Caenorhabditis elegans: one gene and its partners. The protein of the gene in region 2 purifies or fractionates together with the protein of the main gene of each other region. This does not show direct contact. Each region holds a gene or a part of one and is shown on either strand. Other genes may lie near its edges.

Evidence for each region.
Region 1: the proteins of copd-1 (region 2) and tmed-10 fractionate together in Caenorhabditis elegans (co-fractionation; one large-scale study listed by BioGRID). This does not show direct contact.
Region 3: the proteins of copd-1 (region 2) and copb-1 fractionate together in Caenorhabditis elegans (co-fractionation; one large-scale study listed by BioGRID). This does not show direct contact.

What each region holds. Positions count from the first base shown.
Region 1 is NC_003283.11:11,323,456-11,328,697, reverse strand, and holds tmed-10 (GOLD domain-containing protein), read left to right. Parts: upstream 1-1,733; 5' UTR 1,734-1,751; coding exon 1,752-1,856; intron 1,857-1,976; coding exon 1,977-2,039; intron 2,040-2,089; coding exon 2,090-2,414; intron 2,415-4,294; coding exon 4,295-4,416; 3' UTR 4,417-4,733; downstream 4,734-5,242. Other genes in the region: str-141 (Serpentine receptor class r-10), read left to right, coding at 4,878-5,057, 5,130-5,211.
Region 2 is NC_003281.10:6,622,175-6,626,601, reverse strand, and holds copd-1 (putative coatomer subunit delta), read left to right. Parts: upstream 1-1,629; 5' UTR 1,630-1,640; coding exon 1,641-1,782; intron 1,783-1,866; coding exon 1,867-2,499; intron 2,500-2,556; coding exon 2,557-2,928; intron 2,929-2,994; coding exon 2,995-3,103; intron 3,104-3,308; exon of another isoform or gene 3,309-3,361; coding exon 3,362-3,653; 3' UTR 3,654-3,902; downstream 3,903-4,427. Other genes in the region: C13B9.2 (glycerate kinase type-2 family protein), read right to left, coding at 4,408-4,427. UniProt on the Caenorhabditis elegans protein: The coatomer is a cytosolic protein complex that binds to dilysine motifs and reversibly associates with Golgi non-clathrin-coated vesicles, which further mediate biosynthetic protein transport from the ER, via the Golgi up to the trans Golgi network.
Region 3 is NC_003280.10:3,077,102-3,081,804, forward strand, and holds the start of copb-1 (Coatomer subunit beta), read left to right. Parts: upstream 1-1,694; 5' UTR 1,695-1,704; coding exon 1,705-2,197; intron 2,198-3,286; coding exon 3,287-3,495; intron 3,496-4,156; coding exon 4,157-4,239; intron 4,240-4,703.

The DNA of each region.
Region 1 (5,242 bases), on a different chromosome or scaffold from region 2:
GCAATTTTCAACATGCGGGACCGCCCAGAGACTGTTCGCGATGCGATTTACTTCATTTTAATATAAATTTTCCCCCAAATAAGCTCGAAATGAGCTCTGAATTTCGGCGGATCTGAAAATTTTTTTTGACCAAAAACAGAATTTTGCAAATAAAAATTGATTTTAGAGCAATTTATTGCATAAATATTCAATTTTAGAATTTTTACTAATAGTTTGAATCTTTTTAAAGTGTTTTAGTCATTAATTTGACTGATAACACAGAAAATGATTTTTCTTTACAACGAAATCGATAAAAAAGTAAAGCAACATTTATCAAGGGAAATCTTGCAAAATTGGTTAAAAAACTTGTATGAAATCAAAGATTTCACTAGAATAAAGCTACAAATCAATCAAAATCACTAAAAGTACAAATAGTTCTGATCAAATTTCAATGTTCCAATCTACCAATGGATCTATGCCACGCCAAATTTCTTATGCAAGTGTTGCTCTCCAATTTTCCTTAAAAAATGGATCAAATACTCACATAAATGATCAAATTAACATTTTTTACAAGTTTCGTGTTATATTTTCTTTTTCTTAATAAGGAACCATCAGGTTCTTCCTGCCCTCTACGGCTCTAGATACCTCAACTTCGACAACTCCTATCTACTCGGAGAGGTGAGAGAACTTGTAGAGCACATCAAAAACTATGATATTCAATTTAACCTGCGTTTTTATCTTTCAAGATGGGGGAGTTAGACGTACATTTGTATTGCATGCTTTTTGTTATTCTACTGGCTGCTCTAACTCCCTCATCTTAAGAGATAAACACATGATTTTAACTAATTAGTATAGTTTCTACAATTTCCTAGTTAATCACTTTTTGATATCTTGCATCTCTGAGGAGATAGGAGTTGTCGAAGATACAGTATCTATAGCTATGCGCATATGAAGAATCTAATGGATTCTCATCATGCTATACTACTTATCATCTGCTTTTTGTGGGAAACAATGATTCAAAAATGTTTTTTCAAATGATCAAACAAGTTGTGATTTGATCTGAACATTTAGTGTTGGTTTAGTGAAGATCAGCTGCCAACTAAACAGTTTCCGTTGATGTGGGCATTTTTGAACAATTTCAAGACGTGAAACCGTGTTATCTCTATCAAGCTGACGTTTAAAAATTGGAATCAAACATATTAATGCTTGAAAAAATTTGTTTCGCGTAGAAATTTTGTCATAAAGTTAACTTGTTCTAGTCGGTTCGAAAATCAATGAAAAAGCAGCCAAATCGTGAATTTGTTGAATAAAATGTTTTTTAAAACTTTTTTAAAGCAATAATAATCCCAATATTTAATTATTTTTTCCAAATTTCATCTTGAAAACTCGAATAATCGCGAAATTTCGTCTGAAACTCATTTAATACCGTAAAAGTGTGCAAACGCGCTCCGTTGGACTTTCCTATTCTCGATTTTCTTAACTCTCCCGATTTGAGGCGCTGTGTTTTCCTGTTAAAATGCGTTTGTCAACGTTGACAACTCAACTACGGTTGCCAATGCGTGTTTGCGTACACACTCGATCCCACGCGCAACTGCATACGCCGCGTTGGTTTTAATTCCATCTTTTTTAAATTTATTTTCGGCGTTTGTATTGATTTTTGCTGTGTATTCCTTTAACATGAACTGATTTTTGTCCATGATAACTTTTGAACAACTTAATATTCATTATCGCATTTTTCTTACATTTATTTCCAGGTAATCATCCGAACAATTATGAAATCTCTAGTTATCTTTCTGTCAGCTATCGTTCTTGCCCATTCTCTGAGGTTCTACGTGCCACCAAAAGAGAAAAAGTGTCTGAAAGAGGAAATTCACAAGGTAAATACTTTTACAACTCCTTGTTACCATAGCAGTAAAGATGTCAAACATACTTTTTTTCGTTAAAAATTGATATATTTAATAAACATCAGAATTTATGTCTAATAAAACCTCTTGCAGAATGTGGTCGTAACAGGAGAATATGAGTTCAGTCAAGGAATTCAATACACTGGAAGTATTCACGTGAGTAAAAATAGTTTCAAAATTACTTCAAATTTTTAATTTATTTTCAGGTCACCGACACCAGAGGCCACACTCTCTACAAACGTGAAAACTTTGCTGATCTAAAAGGAAAATTCGCGTTCACTGCTGACGAATACGACATCTTTGAGATTTGCATTGAGAATCATCCACCAGCTGGGCATCCTGGAGAGAAGCGCGAGGTTTCTCTTATTTTGAAGCACGGAGTCGAAGCCAAGAATTATGATGATATTGCCAAAGCCGAGAAGCTGAAGCCACTCGAGGTTGAACTTAGAAGATTGGAGGATATGGCTGATTCAATCACCAAAGATTTCGCATTCATGCGCCAAAGAGAGGAAGAAATGAGAAATACGAACGGTAAGTGTTTAAAAAATCATTTGAATCATATAAAAGGTTCGTAATTATTTTAATTTAAAAATAATGCATTGCCGATTATCCAAGTACAGTGCTCCACATAATGATACGGCCACCCCCAAATTTTGGTATAACTCAAAACTGGGTTGAGATAGCAAAACATAATTTCTTGTGAAAATGTCCGCTGTACTGGCTAACTTTCAGATAAGTATTGGAAATATACATGAACCGTTCGTAAAAAAAGATAAACCATTTTTTCATGAAAATCCATATAAAAAAATCCACAAAATGATACGGCCACCCTTGGTTATTGTTTTCTTTTTTCGTTTTCTTTGCAATTTTTTTTGCTAAACGTTAGGTTTCATGTTCGTTTGTGTTTTTACAGCTATGTGTCGTGGAATAACTTTAACTGACTACGGAAAAAGACAAATTGTGCAAAATTATCTCAAGGCTTTTCGGATCGTCAGATTTCTCGTGATTTGAAACGTTCGAGAGATATGATCATTCGATATGCTTCAAATCCTGCCGCTCATTGCACCAAACAGTCTTCTGGTCGCCCACCACTTCTTTCTGGTAGAGACAAGCGAAAAATCGTTCGTCGAGCATCAAATTGAACAGTGACTTTCTCAAAAATTAGGCGCGAGATGAACCTGCCAGTGTCTGTTGAGACTGCACGACGTGTTCTTTCGAATTCCCAGTTTATCAAAAGACGAAAATTGAGAAAGGCTCCTTTCATTACCGAAAAAACCGCTAAAATCGTATTCAGTTAGCTAAAATCAGCCAGAGAACTAACTGGAGACAAGTGAAGATTACCGTATGATCATTCAAGCCCAATTTTGGTTTTAGTTCATCTTTTCTTCTCTCAAATCGTACCAGTAATCACGGTAGCCTTCTGGTTCATCACAGTTAAACTTTTCCTCGTCACTGAAGATGATCTGAGACCAATACATGAGCTTGAATGATCATACCGTAATCCTCACTTGTCTCCAGTTAGTTCTCTGGCTGATTTTAGCAAACTGAATACGACTTTGGCAGTGTTTTTCGGTAATGAAAGGAGCCTTTCCTAATTTTCGTCTTTTGATAAACTGAGACTTCGAAATAACACGTCGTGCAGTCTCAACAGACACTGGCAGGTTCATCTCGCGCCTAATTTTTGAGCAAGTCACTGTTCAATTGGATGCTAGACGAACGATTTTTCGCTTGTCTCTACCAGAAAGAAGTGGTGGGCGACCAGAAGACTTTTTGGTGCAATAAGTGGCAGGATTTGAAGCAAATCGAGTGATCATATCTCTTGAACGTTTCAAATCACGAAAAATCTGACGATCCGAAAAGCCTTGAGATAATTTTGCACAATTCGTCTTTTTCCGTAGTCAGTTAAAGTTATTCCACGACACATAGCTGTAAAAACACAAACGAACATAAAACCTAACGTTTAGCAAAAAAAAATTGCAAAGAAAACGAAAAAAGAAAACAAAAACCAAGGGTGGCCGTATCATTTTGTGGATTTTTTTATATGGATTTTCATGAAAAAATGGTTTATCTTTTTTTACGAACGGTTCATGTATATTTCCAATACTTATCTGAAAGTTAGCCAGTACAGCGGACATTTTCACAAGAAATTATGTTTTGCTATCTCAACCCAGTTTTGAGTTATACCAAAATTTGGGGGTGGCCGTATCATTATGTGGAGCACTGTATTAAGCTTTTATTATCATTGTTAATTAAATAGATTTGTAAGGCTACAACATATCGTTTCGAGACGCAATTCATTCTCTTCACGGAGCAGGATATTGTGATCCCTGGAAATTGTTTACCACTTTACTTGAGCAAACTCTAATTATTCGATTCATCGACAACCATCTATTTTTTACTTTTTTTTACAGAATCGACAAACAGCCGAGTTCTTTACCTGTCCATCTTTTCAATGCTGTGCCTTCTTGGTCTTGCCATTTGGCAAGTTCTTTTCCTCCGTAATTACTTCAAGTCGAAAAAGCTTATCGACTAGATTTCCCCAACCCTTAATTTATGATTAATTTATCAATTTTTTTTTCGGTTCTCCTCAACTTCTTGCTTTTCCCCCAACATCTCTTTTGTCCACACACCCAAACGTTTCATGTGATTTCTAATTGGTTCCCACATCTTTTTTACTAGATAATGATGATAATGAGTATTTTATTTTGTTGGATTTTAGTTGTTTCCTCCCCCGTTAATCTGCACAAGTATCAACAAAGGGTAAAATGTATAGTGTGTAATGTTTCCGTCTTATTTTTCTGTTTTCATCATTGCCGTTTTTTAAAATCATTATTATGAACTTTTAAATTGAAACATTGAAACATCAATTGGTAATTTACTCACCATATGGTGATTTAGTAAAGTACATAAGATCACTTTTCAAGAAGTCTTTTTCAGACGTCATCCTTTCAGAAATAACTTCAGACTTCATTCTCCACCAGTTCACTTACAACAATGATCGGTCTACATATTTTCCACTACGCCGGCTTTTTCGGAGCACAAATCTTCAATACTGTTCTGGCAATATTAATTGTGAAAAGAGCTGGAAAACTGTTTGGTAGTTACCGTCATGTTATGTTTGTATTCACATTTTGTTCGATGTTGTACTCTGCAGTAGAGATAATTGCACAGCCGGTACGATACAATAGAAAATTGGAACTTGAAATTGAAATTTTGAGAATGTTACTTCAAATAATCGTCTTTCAGGTACTATACATGAAAGGTCCAATGTTTGTCGTGTTTCTTGATAATAACGTTTTTTCTCAAGGCATTGGAAATGTAGTTGCTTGTTAGTTTTAAACATTTTACTTTTCATAGAA
Region 2 (4,427 bases):
CTAAAATCCAGCAAAAACGCGATATTTTACTGTTTTGCTATACATTAATTCCAATTCGTGCGACGTCTGCAGCAAACGCGCTCCCGCTCCAAAACCACTTTTTTCGCTGTTCTCTCCAGATTTGAGGCGCTGTGTATTATTGCTAATTAGCACTGCTTTTTTGCTAATTAGCAATGGTTTGCTAATTAGCCATGGTTTTAAGCTAATTAGTTCTGGTTTTTTGGCCGTTTTGCCTAATTAGCAGTGATTTTGAGTCGGTTAGCCGTGACTCGCACCTGTCTATTAAACGAGATTTCAACCATATTTGTTTAGAAAATCCGTATTGCATTATATTTGCTCCATATTAGATTAGAAATCCATGTTAGATTAGATTTCCTCCATATTTCATTAGAAGACAAATCTAATCTAATATGGTCGAAATCTAATCCAATATGGTCGAAATCTAATCCAATATGGCACGATCTCAGCCATATTTGATTAGATTTCGACCATATTGGATTAGATTTCGGCCATATTGGATTAGATTTGTTCCATATTGGATTAGATTTCGGCCATATTGGATTAGATTTGTTCCACATTGGATTAGATTTCAACCATATTTGATTAGAAAATCCATATTGGATTAGAATAGGAAGCCTATTAATTATGTCCCCATTATATTTGCTCAGTTTCTAATCAAATATGGTTGAAATCTAATTAAACTACTAAGCGTTTGTCTGAGTATACTCGCTCGCTGAGCCATTTTGGCTCGATCCTGTCGCTGAGACCTTCTTCAGACCCTTCCTCTCTTTGGCGTTGGCTTTTGTGTTGAAAAAATTTTAATTTCCAAAAGATCAAATAGTAAAACAGTATTTGCCCTGAATTCAAATCATGAACCTAATTTAAATTCTCACGTGTGACATTTTTTAAGTGCTTAAAAACGATTGAAAAACTGATCGATTCTCTCTCAAAAAAAAGATTGCTGCTAGAATTTTTTCAGTCGCGAATATTTTTTTAATTCATAAAATTTCTCTCAAATATTTGATCAAATGTGCACTCAAAGAAATTCTATGCCTGCCAAAAAAGTTTTTCCTGCTCATGGCCTAAAACTACCCTTTTCCCGGTCAGCGGCCGCGGGGAGGTCTCGCAACGAAATGACGTTTCACTGGTTGTTCGTTGGAGATTTTCATCTTTTAAGCTGATTTTTAATAGTTTCTAGCTTTAAATTTTTTGTTTTTAATTGAAAATCGAGTTATTTATGTCCCTAAATATGCTATACACTTTAAATTTCATTGAATTTGGATTAAATGGCGACGTAATTAGAGAAATTTGAAATTATTGGTGTCGTACTCCGTACTTTAAGTTTTTTGAAGCATCAACAAAATTTTTAATATATTTCCATCATTATCTCAAAACTTCACACGATTTTTTCCTAGTTTTTCCGAATTTTTACTCGATTTTTATTGGAACTCTTCACAGAACAATATAAGTTTAGATGTTTTCAATATTTAATATTGATAACCGTACTTAACTAAAATGTAATACAATTAAATTAATTATTAAACTTTCCCGTAGCATATAAGCGTAAAACCAACGTGTACTTAATTTTTCTGCTTTTTTTCCCATTTCGATGCCATTATTTCGTTTCAGAGTATTTCACAATGGTGTTGATCGCCGCTTGCATCCTCTCGAAGACGGGAAAATTGCTTGTTGCCCGGCAGTTCGTAAATGACATGATGAGATCTCGTTTGGAAGGGCTCGTTGATGCTTTCCCGAAGCTTATTGGGAATGAGAAGGAAGCTGGTCAGTTAAAAAAAGTACTATGTATATTGGAAACCCTTAGACATTAATTTTATTTCTGATTTTTAAACATTAAATTGTTTTCAGCTACTCGTCAACATACATTTGTCGAGACAGACAGCGTCCGCTACGTTTATCACCCTCTGGACAACATTTACCTTGTGTTGGTGACAACGAAAAACTCGAACATTCTCGAGGACTTGGAAACTTTACGCCTTTTCGTACGAGTCATTCCAGAGTATTGCCGCTCAAATGAGGAGAAAGAGATTCTTGCTCACGATTTTGATCTGATTTTTGCATTCGATGAGGTCGTCACTCTCGGATACCGCGAGAGCGTCAATCTTGCTCAAATCAGAACTTTCACAGAGATGGATTCTCATGAGGAAAGAGTTTTTATGCAGATCAAGGAAGCTCAAGAGAAAGCTGCCAAGCAGGCAATGGCTGAAAAGGCCAAGGAACTCAAGAGAGCTCAGAAGGAGGCTTTGAGCAGAGGGCTCAAGCCAAGTTATCAATCAAGCACAGGAATCTCTTCATCATCCACTCCAAATGCAGCTGCAGTTTCTGAGCCAGCGGCTCCACGACCATCGGCACCGAAGGGACCAATTGGAGGTGGAAAGGCACTGAAGTTGGGAGGAAAAACGAATAATGAAGATGATTTCTTGGATACATTGAGACAACAAGGTCAAAGCATTGCACCAGTACAGAAAGCTAGTCTTTCAGGTAATCAACTTTTTTTGATATTAAATTTATTTTACATATAAATTTTATAATTTTCAGGAGGAGTTTCCTCTCTCGCCGCACCGATCTCCACAGCTCCACGTGTCAAGAGAGAAGTCGTTCACGTTAGAACTGAAGAGAAAATTAATACCCGTGTCAGTCGTGATGGAGGGCTCGAATCAGGAGAAGTACAAGCCACTGTTACCCTCTCTATTGGATCTCCCGAATTTATTCCAATTTCAATTAAAATGAATAATGGATCTGCAGCTGGAACTCAACTTCAAGTTCATCCAAATCTCGATAAGAAGGAATGGCAATCTTCGTCGACACTGAAAATTAAGCCGAACGGAAAACCATATCCAGTTAACTCAGATGTGGGAATTCTCAAATGGAAAATGGCACTTTCCGAAGAAGAGCAGTTGCCAATTTCTTGTAAGTTAGAAGACAAACAATTCACAATTGTATTGGTATAATTTTCAACCATTTTGCAAATTTCAGTCAATTGCTGGCCTCAAGAATCATCTGATGGAGTCCAAGTCAATATTGAGTACACATTGCAAAGAGAGGACATCACTTTGAACAATGTTCGCATCATTGTGCCACTTCCGTGAGTTTTTCAAAGTTTATTTTGACAATTTTGGTATACATATCAGTCCTGCCGTGTTTTCCAACAAAAACCTTTTAGTTCTCTTGGTTTTTCCAAAATCTGAAAAAAAAATTTTAAGTTTTCAAAAACCCAAAAATTTTCGTTCAGTTTACAATTTTCCGGCTTATCGTTTTGTTGGTTTTGCTTGAATGAAAACAGAAAAAATATTCGAAGGCACCTTTATCATTCCATATCATGTGAGTAAGTATTATTTTTCAGAACTGCGACAGCTCCATCCGTTGGTGAGTGTGATGGAGAATATGAGTACCACAAGACGAAGAACGTGATTGTTTGGTCCTTAGCTGTGATTGACAGCTCGAACTCTTCGGGAACCCTTGAATTCTCAGTTCCAAATGGCCATTGTGATCATTTCTTCCCTGTCTCCGTTGGATTCACTTCTGAAAACTTGTTTGTGCCGATTACTGTACAAAAAGTTGTGAAAAATGATGGATCGCCGGTAACTTATTCAGTGGAGACTACTTTCAACTCGGAAAATTTCGAAATTGTGTAATTTATTCCTATTCGAGAGATCTTCAAGATTGATATTTTTATTGCTTCCAATACCACCACCAAGCCACTAATTTTTCTAGAGATTCATGATTCCTTTTTTGCAAATCATGTTATCCCTTTGATTGCTGTGATGCATAAGCCACTCTCCTCCGACCCAATTCATACTGTATTTATTGAGAATATTTTAATTTATGTATGCTCTTCTATTTATTTCCATTTCTTTTGGGTTTTACGGATACATTTTTTTTGTACGATTGTTTTTCAAACATTTCAATGAGAATATAGAATCGAGTAGTCAGTATCAGAGTATCAGTATCAGTAGAGTATCAGAGGTGGGCGGATATTTTTTCGGATATTTTCTAATAATGAATTTATCAATAAGTATTGATGTAGTTATTCTGGAAGAAATGTATCCGAACCAAAGAGTAACTATTAAGCAACATTTTAATATGATAAAACCTAGAAAAATTCTACAAGTTTTCCTTACCGAGACCTTAAAACTTATTAGCCGAGCAACATCGGATATCGGATACTACGGATATTACGGATATCGGATAATGGACTTGCATATCGTTTATACAGAAAACTTGTAGAATTTTTCTAGGTTTTATCATATTAAAATGTTGCTTAATAGTTACTCTTTTGTTCGGATACATTTCTTCCAGAATAACTACATCAATACTTATTGATAAATTCATTATTAGAAAATATCCGAAAAAAATATCCGCCCACCTCTGGTTTAAATTGAATATTCATTAGAGCTGATCTAGAAGCA
Region 3 (4,703 bases), on a different chromosome or scaffold from region 2:
GCCACGATTTGCCCGCCGCTGTGTCACGGGGTACGGTGGATGGCGAGAACCACGTCACTGTGCGAGAAATCTAGATTCCAATCTTTTTCCGGCGATTTACGTGGATTTTTGCCGGTTTTCAGCGGATTTTTTCGTTTTTTCGTGGGTTTTTGAGGTTAAAAATTGATTTTTGAAGCTTTTAAAGCTATATTTCAGTCGAAAAAGCGGCAAAAATCGATAAAAAACAGGTAGAAAGAGTGAAAAGTGACGTGGCGTTGAATTAGGTCAATTTAAATCAATTTGTCGTTGAAAATTGGGTTTTACAGCTTTAAAGCCTAGATTTCTGTCAAAAAATCAATAAAAACCAGGCGAAATGAGAGAATTTTGTGAAAAATCAAGTTTCGCAACTTTTTCCGTAGTTTTCTGTGGATTTTTGCGATTTTTTTCCATTAGAAATTCGATTTTCTGTGTTTTTTGCAGAAAAAGTTACAGTTTTTGCTGAAAAATGCGATTTTTTCAGGCAAAAACGACAAAAAATCCCATTATCAGCAGAATTTTGGTGGTTTTCTCAGTATTTTTTTCTGAAAAATGCAATTTTTTCAGCCAAAACTGGCAAAAATTGCATTATTAGCAACAATTTGTGTGATTTTTCAGATTTCTAGCTGAAAAATGCAATTTTTTTCAGCTAAAACTAACAAAAATCGCATTTTTTGTGGATTTTTGCAACTTTTCGCGTTTTTTTTTCCATTAAAAATTAAGTTTTAAGGCAAAAAAAGCGAATTTTCGCGGGGTTTTACCACAAAAAAAAACCGAGGGAAAGGCGAATTTTGCATACAATTGTCCAAAAAATTGAATTTTTTCAATTTTTTTACAAGAACAGTCAGAAAATTTGCATTTTTAGTAAAAAATTTGGCATTTTTTACTGAAAAAATGGAAAAAATCGATTGAAAATGGGGATTTTTAGCCGAAAATTTGGAAATTTTCAGTAAAAATCTGATTTTTTTAGCTTAAAAACCGATATTTTTCGATTTTTAAGCTAAAAAATTGATTTTTTCAGTGAAAAATGGAAAAAATCGATTGAAAATGGGGATTTTTAGCCGAAAATTTGGAAATTTTCAGTAAAAATCTGATTTTTTAGCTTAAAAACCGATATTTTTCGATTTTTAAGCTAAAAAATTGATTTTTTCAGTGAAAAATGGAAAAAATCGATTGAAAATGGGGATTGTTAGCCGAAAATTTGGAAATTTTCAGTAAACACCTAATTTTTAGGTTAAAAGCCGGGATTTTCCGATTTTTACGCCAAAAAACGGAATTTTTGACTAAAAAATCGGGTTTTCAGCTGGATTTCGAAGAGTTTTAGGGTTAAAAATGGTCAAAAATTCAATTTTTCTGATGTTTTTGATTTTTCTGATGTTTTTGAGCATTTTTCATGCTTCAGAGTGATTTTCTTGTCATTTACAGCGTTTTTTGATGATTTTTATCCATTTTCTGACGTTTTTGGGCATTTTTCATGCTTAAAGGCGATTTTCGGGGGTTTTCCAGCGTATTTTGACGATTTTTATTCATTTTCTGGCGTTTTTCGATGATTTTCGATGATTTTTCACAGAAAAATGCGATTTAGCTGGAAAATTCAATTTTTTCACAAATTTTTTTTTAAAACGTGAACTTTCTCTACTTTTTTCTTTCTTTTCCCCACAAAAAACCCGAATTTCCAGCTCCTCCACAATGAGCTCCGGAGAGCAACCATGCTACACACTCATCCACGTGCCCAGTGACGCTGAGCTCCCATCAGAAGCTCAATTGAAGGAAAAATTCGAGAAAGGAGGCGATAAAGAGCGAATTGAGGCGCTCAAAAAGCTCATTTACATGATTTTAAACGGAGAAAAAACGTCGCAGAGCATGCTAATGTACGTCATCCGCTTCTGTCTTCCATCCAATGAGCACACCCTTAAAAAAGTGCTCTTGATCTTCTGGGAATGTGTTCCGAAGACGGATTCCAATGGAAAGCTGCTCCACGAGATGATTCTGGTGTGCGATGCCTACCGAAAAGACCTTCAACACCCGAATGAGTTCGTTCGCGGTTCGACCCTTCGGTTTTTGTGCAAACTCCGTGAGCCCGAGCTTCTCGAGCCGCTTATGCCGGCGATTAGAGCTTGTTTGGAGCATCGGCACTCGTATGTTCGTCGTAACGCTGTCTGCGCGATTTTCACTATTTATAGTGAGTTTTTTTGGGCTTATTTAGGCCTGAAATGGGCTTGAAAATGCGAAAAATGACTTTTTTCCAAGAATTTTCACCTTTTATTGCATATTTTACGTTATTTAGTTGATAAAAGGTACATTTATTGCAAAAAATCGCATTTTTAGCTGAAAATTGGCGAATTTTTCAGCCAAGAACGGCTAAAATCGCATTTTTAGCCGAAATTTGAGGGTTTCTTAAGATTTTTGATTTTTTGCTCCAAAATGCGATTTTCTAGGCTCATTTTCGGTGAAATTTGCGATTTTTTGCGAAAAAATCCCTTTATTAGCTGAAAATTGGCGAATTTTTCAGCCAAAAATGGCAAAAATCGCATTTTTAGCCGAAATTTGAAGGTTTCTTCAGTTTTTTTTGGTGAAAATTGCGATTTCTCATGTTTTTTGAGCTGAAAAATACGATTTTTTACAATTTTTATGCCAAAAAACACATTTTTAGCTGAAAATGCGATTTTGTCAGCCAAAAATGGCAAAAATCCCATTTTCAGCTAAAATTTGGGGTTTTTTTTTCAGTTTTTTTGCTGAAAAATACGATTTTTCATGATTTTTCAAGAAAAATCACATTTCCAACGAAATTCTGACTATTTTTCGCTGAAAAACGGCAAAAATGCCAATATTCAGCTGAAAAATGAGCATTTTGTCTGATTTTTGTTGCCAAAAATCGATTATTAAGCTGGAAGATGGAAAAAAAATTCGACTTTTTGATGTTTTAAGCTAAAAATACGTAAAATTTCGTTATTTTAAGCAGAAAAATCGAATTTTTCAGGGAAAAACCTGAAAAACTTGCAGATTTCCAGCTAAAAATGTCATATTTTCTGCAAAAAAACCAGGAAAAATCGTATTTTTCAGCTAAAAATGCGAGTTTGGTCTTGAAATGCACCTTAATTAACGAAAAATCAATGGAAATATGCAATAAAAGGTGAAAATTTGAGAAAAAACCAACTTCGGGACCGGAAAATTGACCAAAATTAATGATTTTAGCTAAAATTAGGTGATTTTTTCGCATTTTTTGATCATTTTTTCCCCGTTTAATCCAAAAATCCCGCTTTTTTTCCAGAAAACTTTGAATTCCTGATCCCAGACGCACCGGAGCTCGTCACAGAATACCTTGAACAGGAGCAAGATGCTTCGTGCAAGCGTAACGCTTTTATGATGCTCCTTCACGTAGATCAAGCTCGTGCTCTTGACTATTTATCGGGATGTATCGATCAAGTCGGATCTTTTGGAGATATATTGCAGCTCGTTATTGTTGAACTCATTTATAAGGTGCATTCTGTGGAAAATTGACTGAAAATATCGATTTTTTGAGAAAAAACCCGTAAAAATGGGGTTTTTTTCGTTGAAAATCGAAGAATTTTCATTAAAAACGGCGATTTTCAAGAAAATTGCGGTTTTTTAAGGAAAAATCTGACAAAACCCTGTAAAAATGGGGTTTTTTTTTTTGTTAAAAAACGGAGAATTTCCATTAAAAACGGCACTTTTTTTATGAAAATTAACTGAAAATGTGAATTTTAGAGTAAAAAAGCTATAAAAATGGCGTTTTTTCGTTGAAAAATGGAGAATTTACATTAAAAACGGCGATTTTCAAGAAAATTGATTGAAAATATCGATTTTTTGAGAAAAACTTGTTAAACAGGCTATTTTTGTTTTAAAAAAACGGAGAATTTTCATTTAAAACGTCGCTTTTTATGAAAATTGAATGAAAATATGAACTTTTAAGCAAAAATCTCAGAAAAATCGTGAAAATCTAGAAATTTCACTATAAAAATGTGTGAAAATCGATTTTTAATTTTAAAATTAACTAAAAATTGGTTTTTTCAACGAAAATACGATAAATTTATCGAAAAATATGATTTTCCTCCAATTTTAACCGAAAAAACTGAAAAAAAATGGCCGAAATCATCCAAAAACTCCAATTTTCTTTCAGGTTTGCCACAATAATCCAAACGAGGCTTCCCGATTCATCAGATGTGTCTACAATCTTCTTCAGTCATCATCACCAGCCGTTAGGTGAGGAAAATCTTGGAAAAATGACGGATTTTCCTGGAAAAAATGGACAAAAAATCGCCAACACCATAAAAATTGTGCGATTTTAGCGAAAAAACTGGAAAATTACGATTTTTAGACCCCAAAACCTTAAAAATTCAGCGATTTTCTCGAAAAATAGCCTGAAAAAATGAAAAATGTTGAGTTTTTTTTTTTCGAAAAAAATGCTCCAAAACCTGGAAATTGTGCAATTTTTTCGTTAATAAGCTGAAAAATAATTAAATCTTTATTTTTTCTTGAAAAACCTATCAAAATTCTCAAAAAAATCGAGTTTTAGACGCCAAAAGCCCCAAAACCGTGAAAATTTCGCGTTTTTCTGAAAAAAAAAAAGATAAAAAGTTAGAAAATTACCGTCTTTAGACCCCGAAATCTTGAAAATTCCGCGATTTTTGTCAAAAAAAAATAGGCGAAAAATCAGATAATTGCAG